Notamacropus eugenii: one gene and its partner. The protein of the gene in region 1 interacts with the protein of each later gene in a pairwise test. Links are inferred from orthologs where the notes say so. Each region holds a gene or a part of one and is shown on either strand. Other genes may lie near its edges. The genes, in order: ERLIN1 and anterior gradient protein 3-like.

What was found.
Region 2: the proteins of ERLIN1 (region 1) and anterior gradient protein 3-like interact in binary tests that used the Homo sapiens proteins (3 or more experiments, as listed by UniProt). The two-hybrid records come from large-scale screens. The link is inferred for Notamacropus eugenii from reciprocal best matches to the Homo sapiens genes ERLIN1 and AGR3.

Annotation. Positions count from the first base shown.
Region 1 is NC_092872.1:249,189,359-249,197,140, forward strand, and holds the start of ERLIN1 (erlin-1), read right to left. Parts: upstream 3,230-7,782; 5' UTR 3,108-3,229; intron 2,648-3,107; exon of another isoform or gene 2,558-2,647; intron 2,384-2,557; exon of another isoform or gene 1,578-2,383; intron 1,163-1,577; 5' UTR 1,152-1,162; coding exon 1,039-1,151; intron 1-1,038. UniProt on the Homo sapiens protein: Component of the ERLIN1/ERLIN2 complex which mediates the endoplasmic reticulum-associated degradation (ERAD) of inositol 1,4,5-trisphosphate receptors (IP3Rs).
Region 2 is NC_092874.1:9,828,274-9,835,356, forward strand, and holds the start of anterior gradient protein 3-like, read right to left. Parts: upstream 3,059-7,083; coding exon 2,911-3,058; intron 1-2,910. UniProt on the Homo sapiens protein: Required for calcium-mediated regulation of ciliary beat frequency and mucociliary clearance in the airway. Might be involved in the regulation of intracellular calcium in tracheal epithelial cells.

The DNA of each region.
Region 1 (7,782 bases):
CTTTCTGACTTTATAGGGTTTATCAGAAGTCCCCTGGTATAGAATCTGCCTCCATGCCATTGATGAGAATATTGATATTAGAATTTATGGGAAGTAAAAAGGTATAACATGCTGAAAATGCAAACAGGTTTTATAACAAATATATGGATAATCAAATCTTGGCAATTTTATGGGAAATGGAATATTTGCAGGAACTCTAACCTGATAAGCCTAGATCTTGGATGGTACATCCAAGTCATTGTTAATTTGAAACAAAATACCATTCCTAACTACTAGTCACAGTTTGTCATTTCTTCTACCAAATTACCCCTATAGTGACCTACCTGTAAAAATATTCAAAAACAAGCTTGTTTAAAGTATGTCTATGTCCTCAATTAGAAAAATGTGTTCAACTCAAGAGTTAGGAGAAAGGATACACTGAAACTGGGAGTGGTAATACTCTTTTAATTAACTCTCTGCCCAAGGCCTCCATTGACTGATCTCCCTGTAGATAACAGATCTCTGTGAGAAGTGCTGGCAATAACATCTAAGAGAAACTAAATTTTCCACACTATTTTCCCCTTACCCTGTAAGCTAGACTAACACAGGCTGAAAAGGAGGAAAAGTAGAGTGTACCCAAAACTATTTACACATTTATCTGCATCTCATCCTTCTTAGCCATAATGTGTTATGGTCACTGTTTAGAGTGATCAGATTCAGGAAAACTCCTGGAGAAAAAGGTTGTCAGGAAGAAGCTAACAAACAAATAAGAGTACCAGCCCCACAAACACTGAATGCCACTGAGGCTCAAGGACAACCCTGGGCCTCTGCAGTGTGTAAAAGTCAAACCAGTTGTAACCAATGTCGGTGGCACCGCCCCCCGCAGTACTATGTACTTCACAAAGGTTGCTTGATGATAATCAACCCAATTCCAGGACTCTGAGACAATACTGTAGTAAGGACAACTTCCAAATTCCCAGGGATCATAGCTGTCTTTGTTGGATAACCTAGGCTGGATGTACACACTGGTCTGTTGGGCTCCCATGACCTGGCACTCACCTGTAGTACACAGCAAGGTGTCCCTCCTCGATCCTGTGGATGGAGGCGTAGAGGAGAACCACCACCAGCCCTGCAGCTGCAGCCCCCAGAGCCCCGGCTTGAGTCATATTCATCCTGGCTCTTCCTATATGAGGAGCGAACCAATAGTTCTGATCTCCCTTTCCCCAGATGGTCCAGTCCCCTCTCTATAACCAATGTTGAGAAGTCTAGGTCTCCAAAGGAGCCTCTCTTCCTCCCCTCCCTCATCTGCACCCTCATAGAAATGGTCCCTTCTTCTCTGACCCACCCATTGCCCAAAACCCACCATAATTCCACCCTTATTTCCAGTGACCTCCCTCTTCCCCAACAGCTATTCCCACAAAATCCTCCATTACCCACTTATCACATCTTTTCCATTCAGCCCACCAGTTCACTCCCCCTTCCCTCTCCAACCCCCTTTTTCTCACTCAATAATTCTAAATGAACCCCACCCAGCCACCCCATCCATCCCTCAAGGACAATCTCTATCTCTCTCAATTACAACATCTCCTGACAAATACCTTTTTCCTTCAGTTAACAGCAATTTTCCCAAGACACTTCCTCTTTACCAATAATCCCTCTTTTCTAGAATCTCCCTTTCAACGATACTCTTTCTTTCCTCCCTCAATGAATTTCAGTCTGATCAGACATCTCCTACCCTACTTATCCCCCCTCAGCAACACACCCATCTACAAAGTCACTAGCCTTAACATGGTCTCCCCTCACTCTTCACTGTGAGGATCCTCACTCCTACCTGTGACCGAACCTTCTGGTTCAGTAAAAAAAAAAAAACCTCCTACTCCCCTTCTCCTCCAGAGACACCTCCAGAAACGCCCACTCTCTTAAGTGATAATTTTTCCTTCCCCTTCAATGACAATGTCTATTCCTGACAAATGGTCCCTCCACTTTGCCTCAGACAGTCCTTATAACGGCTGACATTAATGTACAGTCTCTTAATGTAGCCAGCTTCACATACAACTTATCTCACTTAATTCTAACAGCAATGCTAGGAAGTAAGGACTATAGGTATCCTTATCCCTAAGGGATAGTGTCAGGGAAGCCAGGGAACTGTCCGTGGTCACACAGTGTCAGGTGGAAGCTGGACAGCCCTGAGTCTTCCAAGTCTAGTGGCAAACTCTCTCCCGTCAGGATATCCACTTTTCAGTCCTGCTTCTCAGGGGCAAAGAAACAGGGAATCCCAAGTGACTCTTCCTTCTCTCTCTGTGACTAAGTCCACCCTTAGTGATCTCCCCCTCCTCCATGACTTCCTATCACCTAAGGAGTGGCTCAGCCTCAATACTCCCCCTGGACTCCGACTGACCGAAGAGACACAAACTGCCCTCCGGGACACCCCCTCACATCAGCCTCTGACCCTCCCTTCCGGCCATTCTTGCCCCACCCCTCACTGATCATCCCCGCTAGTGAGTGGTCGCCTGCTCCTCTGCAGCCACCACCCTCCAGACTGCCCTGGAAAAGAAGGCTGACTGTGTAGCCAGATGACCTGCTTAGAGGCGGCTAGGTGGCCCAGGGAACGGAGCACCGGCCCGGGAGTCAGGAGGACCCGAGTTCAAATCCGGTCTCTTCCAGCAAGTTCTCAGCAACTCCTCTCCCTCCCACCCCCTCCGCTCTCGGGTACAAGTCATCCACGTCCCTCCCCCAGAGAAGGCCTGGGCTTCGGCTTCCCGGTGGGGAGCGCCAGGGGCTGCAGGTCGCCAGTCCGAGCAGGAGCTGGACTAGATGACCCCATCGGGCACCTCCTCTACCGGGCCCCCCACACCTGCTTTCTCCCCGGCGGCAGCCCCCGCCCCTGCCTGACATCGCCTCTGCTCCCTGCCTCCCCTCAGCCTCGGGCCCGGGCGGGCAGCCCCGCCCTTCGGGACAACCTGGGGGACCGGGGTGCCCGGCCCCCGCCTCGGCGGAGGTGGCTTGTGACGGCCGCGCCCCTCAGTGACGCCCCCTGCCCCGCGGATGCCGCCTCCCCCTCAGGTACAGCCCCCTGAGGAGGGAGGATGCCTCTGCCTCCCGCCCTCCCCGCCCGCCCCCAGTCTCACCGATCGGCTGCGCATCTCCCCGGCGACGCGCCGAGCTCGTCGCCCACCTTGCCAGGGACCACCGGCCGCCCACAACCGCCGGCGGGCCCACAGTCCCGCGCTTCTGCGCAGGCGCCCGGTATACGCATGCGCGGTCACATCCTGTACGGTCAAAAGGGGGAGACGGCGAGTGAGCCGAGACAAAACTGGTCTCTCGCTCTCGATGCGCGTTGCTTGGGTTTGTCTCCCCCTGGTGGGGATGTTAGGATAGGAGCCTAGATCCACGTGGCACAGGCGTGGGAGGCCTGCTTCCGAGGAAGGGTGGGGCAGGGACATAGACCCTGAAGCTCCTGTGCACCATGTCAATTTCTGGGAGGTTTTCTCTTTCACTAGGGAGCTGTGGGATAGAGCAAACAGCTAGGTGGGCAGCCCCTCAGCTTTGCCTGCCATCCACCTTCCCAGCTGCCCAGTCGATCCAATAAAGATTAAGATTCTGCCTGCCTTCTCTGAACAAGCATACTTTCATACATATATGCATGTATAAGAAAGGAATGAATCAAATGAAACAGAGATTTCAACAAACCACTGGAAGTGTCTGGTATGTCAAATTCATTTCTTTCTTTTGCAGAAACTTCTCACTAAGTTGCAGTGAAAGTTATGAAAAAGAAATAGTAATTATGCAACTGATAATTCTGATAGATATAAGGACTTGAAGTGAACAAACATCCATTTCTTTTCATTCAAGTTTTATTGTAACTCCTCTCCTAAACAAAAGGTTTGCTTGGAAGGGGGGAAAGTGGGGAGGGGGGGGAAGTAGGGGGGAGGGTTTCTTTTTGTTTTATTCCTGGAGGATGGGTTTGCTTCTTATATTTCGATTTTAGCTCAGTTGAACTTATAGTTATTAACTGCCAATAAATGCTTGTTGAACAGGCTTAAGTTCATGCTTGGACATATTAGACTATTTTAAATGATTAAAACAATTATTATGTTTTATTATGGGAGTATCATATATTTGCCTTCTCAGTGTGTGGGAGCAAGCTTACAGGGAGGAAAAGAATTTGAAACAAAAGTTAAATGAATTTTTAACAACTTATTATATATGAGAGAAAAAACTTGGATGATCTTGCTTGTGTTACAACTCAGAAATGGGAGTGGAAATTCCTCACTGTGATCTTGTGGGAGGGGTTAACTTTGTTTTTCAAAGATGTGACAACACACCAAGAAGTAAGATGCCCATTCATCTCCTCTTAGAAAAGAAAAAGGCAGCAAATAAGAAATGATGAACAGGAAGGCTTCAGAGAGGCCTGGAAAGACTTATATGAACTGATGCTGAGTGAAAGGAACAGAACCAGGAGAACTTTATACACAGCAACAACCACAGTGTGCAAGGAATTTTTTCTGGTACTTCTTGCAGTGCAAAGACTTAAAAAATTCCCAATCGTTTCTTAAGGCAAAATGCCTTCCACATCCAGAGAAAGAACTATGGAATTCAGATCACAGAATGAAGCAGATCATTTTCTTTTGTATTATGTTTTGGTTTTATGGTTTCTCCCATTCATTTTGATTCTTCTATGCAACATGACTAAGGTATGTATTTAATAGGAATGTATGTGTAGAACCTATATAAAACTATGCCCTCTCAGGGAGGGAGTGGGAGGGAGGGGAGGGAGGGGGGGAAATTTAAGATATATGGAAATGATTGTAGAACAGTGAAAACAAATAAGATAATAATTTTTTAAAAATTTGTACCAACAAAAAAAAAAAGAAAAAGGCAGCAAGACACAATGGATAGACAACTGGCCCCAGAGTCAGGAAGACTGAGTTCAAATCCTACCCCTGAAACGTACTGGTTTTGTGTGTTGCAAAGGTACCAAGCTACATTGGGAGAAAGTATCCTCAGCTGGGCCTTTTGTACCATAGAGTCAGAAGGACTCAGGACTGTGGGTGTGTGCTTAATAAATAAGTAGTCTGACAAGAGGAAATTCCAAGGGTGTCATTATGTAGCTTGTAAGGACAGATTGTATTCATTTGTATTCCACAATGTAGCAGGAAACTAGGTAGCGAAGTGAAAGCAGTGCTGAGCCTTGAGTCAGAAAGAAGTAAGTTGAAATCCAGCCTTAAATACTTAGCAACTGGTCCAGTCACTTAACATCAGGTTTGTCTCAGTTTCCTCAACTCTAAAATGTGAATAATAATGACACATACCTCAAATAGTTGTTGTGAAGATCAAATGAGATGCTATTTATAAAGTGCTTAGCACAGTGCCTAGCACATATTAGGTAGGATACAAATGCTTATTCCCATCCTTCATTGCTTTTCAAACCTAGCTCAAGTGTTGAGAGGCAGCTTAGCACTGGGAATAAAGGTCTGCCCTTGGAGTCATGAGATCTGGGTTCTAGTTCTGCCTGTGACATCGCCTGACTGTGTTACCCTGAGTCAGTCTTCGAATCTCTCAGCACTCTAGGGAAATCAACCTAGATGTCCTGGGAGAAGTCCTTAGTTTGGTGGTTGTTTTTAAGCTGGTCTTGTGATTTAATCAGTGGAGTATTTGTCCACTCAGCCCAGAGGAGTAAAAGGAGGAGTTGGGCCAGGAACTGAAGCCTCATCTTCCCACTTCCAGGGGCTGCTGCCTCCCGGCATCTGCACCAGCTTTTTCAATTCTGCATTTTCTCAGACACTTCCACCTCTGGGCTAAGTTGCAGGTGGGACACAGATAAATACATCATGGTACTTCTAAGCTATCTAAGGGCAATTCAGTTCAATAAGTACCAAGTGCCTGTTCTGTACAAGGTACTTTGCTAGGTAATCTGCAAACTAAGACAAAGTGTCCCTCCCTTCAAGGAGTCTCTGGGATCCCAATGTAAAAGCCAGCCTCATACTTTTAGGGCAGAAAGGATGTGAGAAGCCATTGAGTGCACTCCCCTCACTGGAACATGGAAGAAATGAGAGCTGTAGAGGGGGAGCCACCCAGGAAGGCTCTTCTGACTCCAGAACCAGAGTTGTTCCCATGGGGCCATGCTTCCAGGACATAGATAAGTAAATACAAAGTCATGTCAAGAGGTAGATCTAGAGTTGGATGAGACCTTCAGGTATGGTGCTTCCCAATTGTTTAGGGACTTGAATAATAGGTTCAGGAACATGGGATGGTTCAGAAGAGAAAGTGAGGTTTGTAACCTTGCACATCCCTCCCTCACTCAAAACAAAGTCAAGTGCAAGACATGTCATCATTTCTCTGATGGCATGGTCTTCTTGGAAAACGGAGGACAAACACAGAAATTTTATATATATATGTATGTATGTATATATGTATTTATGCATGTGTGTATGTATGTATGTGTATATGTGTATATATGTGTGTGTGTATATATATACATATATATGACTCCAATCCCCATACCTCAAATATCAAAATACAATTTTTTTAATTTGCAGAGAGTTGTGTGAGGCACTAAAAGGCTAACCCATGATCATCCCACCATTTGAGGCTACCTCTCAAAAAGATGCAAATCTAACAAACATGAAGTGTCCATTGTGTGAGAGCCACTGGGGGGTGTACATAACCAAACAGGCAAGGAGACAGACTAGGTGGAATAAGAATGAGAGAATGAGCATAAACATAAGGCTATGAAGTAAATTGGAACCAGATGGTAGGTAACCTTGAAAGTGAAGATCAGTTTATACTTTAGTAGGTAGGCAATGAAGAAGGTTTTTTTAGCCCAGTAGAGAGAGCTGAGGCAGCTATATGATAGCAGTAGAATCAGGACAGAGCTGAGTTCAAAGGCTACCTCAGACACTTACTAGTTGTGTGACCCTGGGCAAGTCATTTGACCTTGTTTGCATCAGTTTCCTCATCTGTAAAATGAGCTGAAGAAGGAAATGACAAACCACTCCATGATCTTTACCAAGAAAATCTCAAATGGGGTAATGAAGACTCAGACGCACCTGAAACAACTGAGCATGTTGTTGAAAAGAACCGTTGAACTTGAAGTCACAGGATTATAGATGGAAAGATGGAAGAGATCTCCAAGGGCCCCACCTTTATAGCTTTGTGGCAAGGAGCAAATGAGAAAATGTATACACAGCGCTCTGAACACTTTAAAGGGACAGACAAATGCTAATTGTCATTAGAAATAACTAGATCACTGTGGGTTAGGGTTAGAAAGATTACTCAGACAAGCAAATAAATTTAAATGGAGGGGAGATGAAACCAGGGCAAGAAGACCAATTAAGAGGCTATTTAAATAAATTACCTAGAAGAGACTCTAAAACAATGTTACAATAGATGGTGAGAGAAGGGAGACAGCAAAAGATATTGCAGAGAGAGATAATTATCAAGACTATTCAAGTAAAAAATAAATGAACAAATGGTAACATCATCGAGAGAAACATGTTAAAAGGAAGGGCAGGGCAGGTTGGGTATAGGGAAGAAAGAAAGACTGATTTCAGCTTTGGATATTTTGAGATTAAAATACCAACTGGATAGTCAGGTGAAGATGTCTATGAGTCAACTGGAAAAAATTGGCCTAGGACCTGGGAAGATAGTAAAGGTAGGAATAAAGTTTTAGGACTTCATCTGTATAGAGGTGATGGTGGCAGATCCTTGGCCACAAGCTGAAATGGGGTACAAGATTGACTTTTCTCAGGCACAACCTGTAAAACTAATTCCAGTCCTAGACCCAGCCTTATTCCTGACCAC
Region 2 (7,083 bases), on another chromosome or scaffold:
ATCTGACCACGTCACCTCCCCCGCACCCGACCCCCACAATAAACTCCAACAGCTCCCCATTACCTCCAGCATCAATCACAAAATCCTCAGTTTGGCTTTCAAAGCTCTTAACAACTTTGATTTCTTTTTTTTTTTCATGGCTTAACCCTCTGTACATACTCTGAGATCCAGTGACCTTGGCCGTCCTGATATTTCTCTAACATAATGCCCCATCTCTTGATGATATGCCTTTTCGTCTTCTGTCCCTCTTCATCTCCCTCTGGGGCTTCCGTGGTTTCCTTCAAGGTTCTGCTGGAATCGTACCTTCTGTTGGTGGCTTTCCCTCATACCCTCACTCCAAGTGTCTTCACTCTGAGATTACCTTCCTTCTATGCCGGGTGTATCTCATAGTTATTTACATGTAGTCTCAGCCAAAGTATGCAATCAGTCATTTATGTGTATTCTCCCCCATTAGAATGTGAGCCACTGAAGAAAAGGGACTATTTTTGCATCTCTTTGCATCCTCAGGGCTTAACACAGGCCCTGTCACATAGTAAGCACTTAGTGAATGTCTGTTGACTTAAGATGACTTGTATCACCATAGGCAGCTCATTAAAACTCTCAGAGACTCAGTTTCCACATGTGCCAATTTGAGATACCTGTAGCATATCCCTCACATGGCTTTTGTGAGGTTCAGATACACAGAGAGTGCTTTGAAAACCTTAAACAGGTATCTCAATGTGGGGTGTTATTATCTCTGTAGTCTGGAAAGGTTTCCTGAATGAAGAAGGTTTTATGGAGTATTTAAAAATTAATAGCATTTTGATTATTAGAAAGAATGGAGAAAGATGCAAGAAAGACATGGAGAACAGGATAAAAAAAGATGTGGTTGTGAGACAGTGTCTGAAATGTTTGGGGAACAGCTAATAGGCTAATTTCAATGTCATAGGAATTGGTGGTGAGGCTCTACGGGCAAAATGGGTCTACAACGCTTCGCCAGGGAAACAGTAGGTACACATTCGTAATCGCTGAGCAGCAGGGTGAGATGATCAAAATGCCCACTTAAGAGCATTAGGTTGGCAGCAGTTTTCAGGATGGATCAAGAGATGTGAGAGCTGGAGACAGAGACCAATGAAGATTCTACTATGAGAGTACAGGAAAGTCCTGAACTAGAGCGGTGGCCATGGGTATAGGAAGAAATGTATGGATTCAAGAGAGGGACGGCTGGGACTTGACTCAAAGAGGGATGTCTGGGACTTGAAAATGAATTGACTGTTGGAGGGTCAAAGAAGAAGGAAGGCTTGGAGAAGACTTCCAGGTTTTGAGCTTGGGTGACGGAGAAAAGGACGTCAGCACTCAAAGAAATAGGGAAGCTGGGAGGGGGAACTGATTTTGAGAGAAAAGAGGAGTTTGCTTTCAATTTGTCTGCAGATGCTGGGGTGGGGGGAGGTGTTGTTAAGTGTCGTCAGCTATTTGAAGGTCTGTCATGTGAGAGAGGGGCTAGCCTCATGCTTCTTGGCCCTGGGAAGGTGGGGTGAGGAGGAGATGAGCCGAATGAGGGGCAGTGGGAGAAGGGTCCAAGAGGTGATGCTAATGATCAGATCAGTCCTGAAGAAGAATGAGTGGACTTTCTCCCCAGCAGCACTATTATGGGGTTATATTTGTGGCATTATCAAACTGGTAACTGTAGATGTGGCATAGGAATACTGGGTTGAAGATAGTCATATGACTGTTATCTGTAGGGGAAAGAAGTAGGGCCATGGAAGTGAAAACAATTTCTAAGTGGGAAAGACAACAGAGAGATCCTAGGATCATTGGTTAAAGATGAAAAGGAACTTTTAAACCATGGTGGTGGCCTCTTCCCCAGTATATAGATGAGTAAACTGAGGCATACAGATATTAAATGATTTTCTGAGAGTCACCATCTTTTAAGTGTCTGAGGCAGGACTTCTAGCCATACTTTCCTGATTCCAAGTCCAGAGCTTGAACAACAAACCACCTTAGTGGGGGCATCAAAGACAGAGGACTGATGGCCAAAGGAGTATCCGGACAGTGAAGTCAAAGATTTTCAAGTTCAAATTTTGACTGACAAGTCTTTGGCTGTGTTGATCCTGGGCAAATCACTTAAGTCCCTCTGAGATTCAGTTTCCTAATCTCTAAAATGGGGTCATTTGCATTTGTATTTCAACTTGGAGCTATGTTGTGAAAAAAGTATTTCATAAACCTTTAAGCTCTCTATAAATGTGATTGTTATTCACAATCCTTGCTTCTATTGTCATAATCAAAATGGAAAACAGAAAGACCAACAGTTATCATTATTATTGCCATCAAGAGTTTTGGGTCCTCAACAGCAGAAATCCAATTTCTTTCTAGTCAGATGACTATGGATCCCAAGGCACTGCTGTGCCCTGAGTTGAGTGGTAGAGCGGCCAGTTGTTACATCCCCCTTTGCAAATAATTCAAAGAGAACTTGGTGCCATTTGGGAAGAATGACTACCACAATGGGATGGGATGGCAGTGAACTCCTGTGAGTCCGGTCACCATTGGGCCAATCCCTGCTACTGTATTCTAGTTTTTTGGTTTTTGCTAAGATGTTCTAAGCTTTATTTTGTTTCTAGGCTGCTCAAGGCCCATTCCCCTTTCAATAACCATGTCCTTCCTTCTCAATTCTGATGCTGCACTGAACAGTCATTCCTTCCATTACATCTCTCACTGCTTTTCTGACTTCCTTAATTCACTGTCTCTCAACCCTGGTCACATCTCTGATTTCCCCTCTCTCAGCCTTAGTTTCTTTAACTGTAAAATAAAACAACTGGATTAGATGCTCATCAGGGTTATTTCCAATTCCCAAACCCTTGGTGCAGAGACATTGTTGACGCAGGAGCCAAGGGAGGCTGGACAACATGTGGGTAAGGCCCCAGACCTGGGCACTTGTGACAATGAGCTTGCCAGGCTCTTCTCCAGCTGCACTGGTCTCCACCTGCTGGGTGAACCCACATTCTGGGTCTGTTCTTCTCCAGGCAGCTGTTGGTGTTGGCCGCCCACTGTCCGCAGCCCACATGGATCTCTTATGTTCCATGCAGACTTACTCCCATGCAAGTGATCATAGTCAGAAGCCTGGAAAAAGATCCTGAGATCAAAGGAGAGCCAATTCCCCACCTGTTTCTCCATTCATCCATGTGACTCATTAAAACTAATGAGCAGAGAGCTAGACTAATTGTTCTGGAACAAGGATGATATAATTATCTCGAGAGGAAAATCAGGAAACTACTTTTGATCCTCCCATGGACATCAGTTCCCTCTAAGATTCCTGTAACAGCAACAGTCATATGTATTGCTGCTCCTGCGTATTTAATGAGTTTACTCTGCCAAGGGAGCCAGACAGGTCTAATCAGGTCCTTCCTATCTCTCCAAAGCTGGCAGCTTATTTGAGAGGAGACCTTGATGTTCTCTACTTGAGAAGAGTGATTGAACAGCCAGTCAGAAAAGCCCAAGTCACCGAAGGCCTCAGCTTTGAAAGAGATGATAATATGCACGTGTGCGGAATTCAGAGAGTGAAAGGTATATAATTCACAGTTTCTAAGGAGCTCCGTTTTACTTTGGATGCTGGGGAGCCAAAGTCTGTGTGTGGTTGGAGTAACTTAAGTCTTCTCTTCCCAAAAGCTACTGAAAATGTCATTGTACATTCTAGTGTGTTCTTTTCCATTCAAGTAATACTTATTAACCACCAATGATTGCTGGTCATTTTCCTTGACACTGGGGATATAAAGACAAATGAGTTAGCCCACGGAAATGTTACATTCTCTCTCTCTCTCTCTCTCTCTCTCTCTCTCTCTCTCTCTCTCTCTCTCTCTCTCTCTCTCTCTCTCTCCCTCTCTCTCTGTCTCTCTGACTGTCTCTCTCTCTCTCTGTCTCTGTCTCTCTCTTTCTTCCTCCTTTCTGTCTCTCCCCTTGGAGTATCTATCCCTTTATTATTTATATGTACATACACTAGCTATTATTATCATCACTACTACTATTAATAAAGTCTAGAGTTCTTGCTTTTAAGGAATGTAAATTCCACTCATGAATACAGTATTAATCCAGATGAGCAGATACAACACATATACACAGTAGTTTTGAGGTGGGGGGGAGCACTCATAGTGGGCAGGTTCAGGAAATACTGTGTAAAAAGGTGATATGATACCTGGATTGGACTTTGGAGGAAGCTGGGAATTCTAAAGGGTCTAAATGAGGTGGGAGATCATTCCAGGCAAGGAGGCCCCCCCTGTGTCAAGGTAAAGGCATGGGACATAGGGATGTTGTGTTTCAGGAGTGCTAGTAGAGTAGTTGGACCAGAATGGAGTGCTTGAATGGGGGTAATAAGTCAAGAAATAGAGGAGGAAGCTAATGTGGAAGGCTGAGCATTTTGTATTTTATCATTGACGTAGTAGGAAGATACTGAACATTTTAGCAGGGGCCTGATCCAGGCTTTGGAACCTCTGTGGAGGCTGGATTGTGAGACCAGAAAGCCAATTAGAAAGAAAGCTACTCTAATAGTCCAGAGGAGAGATAATGTGTTCCCAATGAATAGACATAACTTGGAGGAAGATTTCCCAATGGAGACTAAGAAGGAATGGTCATATAAGGTGGGGGCTGTGAGAGTGGGGACAACCATAGGGAAAAGACCTGTTCTGCTGATAGAATGAATGGGGTATGTGGAGTGAGAGAAAGTGAGAGACACAGGGTAACTTTGGGTAACTGGAAGAATTGAGGCATCCTCTGCTGAAACAGGGAAGCTTGGAGGAGAGACAGGTTTGAAGGGAAAGGTAGAAAGAGTCTTGTTGAAAACATGGTATTTGTGTTGCTGATAGGACATCTAGGGAGCCTCTCTGGCTACTCTGGGGGGCAAATTATGTCTTTTATTGTAGAAAATCATGTAAAAGATGAAGAACAGATTCTTTCCCTCATATTTCACATCTGTGCTTTACAGCTACCCCCTCCTCCCCTCAATTTTGAGGCAACTTAGAGGCGGGGCTAGTGATAAGAACCCAGGACACTGAGGCCGAGCCTCTCCCTTCAAACCCCACCTTGGTGCTTAACCTGGGGGACCTTGTTTCCCAGAGTCTCCATTTCCTCATCTTTGAAGTGAACAATTAGGACTCAATGATCTCCAAGTTTCTTTCCCTCCCAATCTATGAGACTAACTTTAGAATTCTTATCCACCAACTGAGACTGCTGGACTGAACATTCCCTAAAGTGCTTCCCGGGTCTAAATCTATGATGATGTAAGAGCAGACATCGATGGAACTAGAAAGGATGATCGATGTCCTTTAGACTGACCCCTCATTTTACAGATAAGAAATGGAGGCCAACGGGGAGAAGTGATTCCCCCAAATCACACAGACTCTTAATGGCAGACCTATGATGCGGGTCCCATGTCGTCTGATTCTAAAATCAACATTACTTCTTTGGGACCATTCCACCAGAGGCATGAAGGAGAATAGCATATTTTGTCAAGATAGCTCTTTGATAGGGGAGTTGGGTGTCTATTGTAGACAAATTCTTTAAAAATCTGAAAACAAAGAGAATTTGCCTTTTTATTTAAACATTCGAAGATTTTTGTTTCCATAAATGCATAAGCATCCTTGAGCATTTCTATTCTCTTGAATTATTCAAAAGCAGCTTTGCATTAAGCCTAGCCCTTTGGCAAGCAGGTCACCCCTCCCTGTTAGATCACAAATGGAATGAATTCTTCTTAGTTAATCAGGCATTTTCCTCCCAATTTGACTGGGTGACTTTCAAGTAGATGAAGACAAGCATGCCCTTTTATTATGATGTGATCAGTGACTTTATTTTTCCGGATTACAACTCACTTCTCTAGAACTCTTCATGTCCATGATCTCATATGACTCTAATAGCAACCCTGCAGCTCATTTCAACAGGTACATATCTTTGCCTCCATGGATCTTGGGCTGGAAGGTCTTTCAGAAGTCATTTAGTACACCTCTTCCTTTTAAAGATGAGGAAACTGAGGCCCAAAGAGACAGAAAGGGGAAAGCTTTTCTGTAGTTTAAGAAAAAACATTTTTAAATATAGCTAGCATGTATATAGCCCTTTAAAACAAAGTGCTTTATAATTTAGTCTCCCAGTAAGTCTGGGAAGTAAGTGCTATTATTAGCTTCATTTTTCAGATGGAGAAGCTCAGACACATAATGGCTAAATGGTTTGCCCAGAATCTCGTAGCTTGTGAGCATCCTCTAGCTCCTTTCACCTTGGCTAGCTGCCTTTGCAAGGGGAAGAAGGGCTTGGGGCAGAATTGGAAACCAGGTATCCTGCATTCAGATGCATTGCTTTCTCTGAGTCTTGCTGCTGTTCTCACTGGCCCCATCTTTGAAAAGAGGAAACTTGCTTAGTGGTTTGTCCATGGTTCAGATGGAAAAGAAAGTGGCAGCTGCGGTTTTGGAGCCTCTTGAAACAGACACTTCTCCCCTAGCAGGGAATACAAGGGCTATTAGGACCATTCTCAGTTCCTGGATCAGAACTGGGGTGCTACCCACCCCCAACCCACTTCCCCAATTCAAAAAGGAAAATAATGCAAGAAGTGATTCAAGTCAGAAGGAAGATGAATTAGGACAAAGTCTTGCTCAATGAGGGAAGAACCACACACTGGTCAATGGACTTGGAATCCTAGGATTCTTTGAGTCCACCAGAAAGGCTTTAGGAAGGTTCTGATCCACAAATCTGGAGGGAGAGGATTTTTGCCCTGATTTAGCTATGTGAAAGAAGTTGGGAAAGTAAAACTTTGCTTGGTGCGAAAAGAAGGGGGGATTTGGCAGAATGAACTGGGGAGTTCTTTGTAGGATGGTGAGAGCGAGGGCAGGAAGCAGTAACCAAACTGAAGTCTACTGCCCCAGAAGCCCAGGGATCCAACCGCTTCTCTTCTCTGCTCCTTAGCCAGCATTTTTCTCAGTCTCTAAATTCTTTATGTTTCCTACTTTGAGGCAAAGCCACAGTGGCTCCATTTTAGTTATCAGGTAACTAGCTCCCAGACTTTGACTTGGGGGAGCAAGGCACAGGGACATACCTAGACTTGTCATATGGAGGATGGCAATTTTCTTGGGG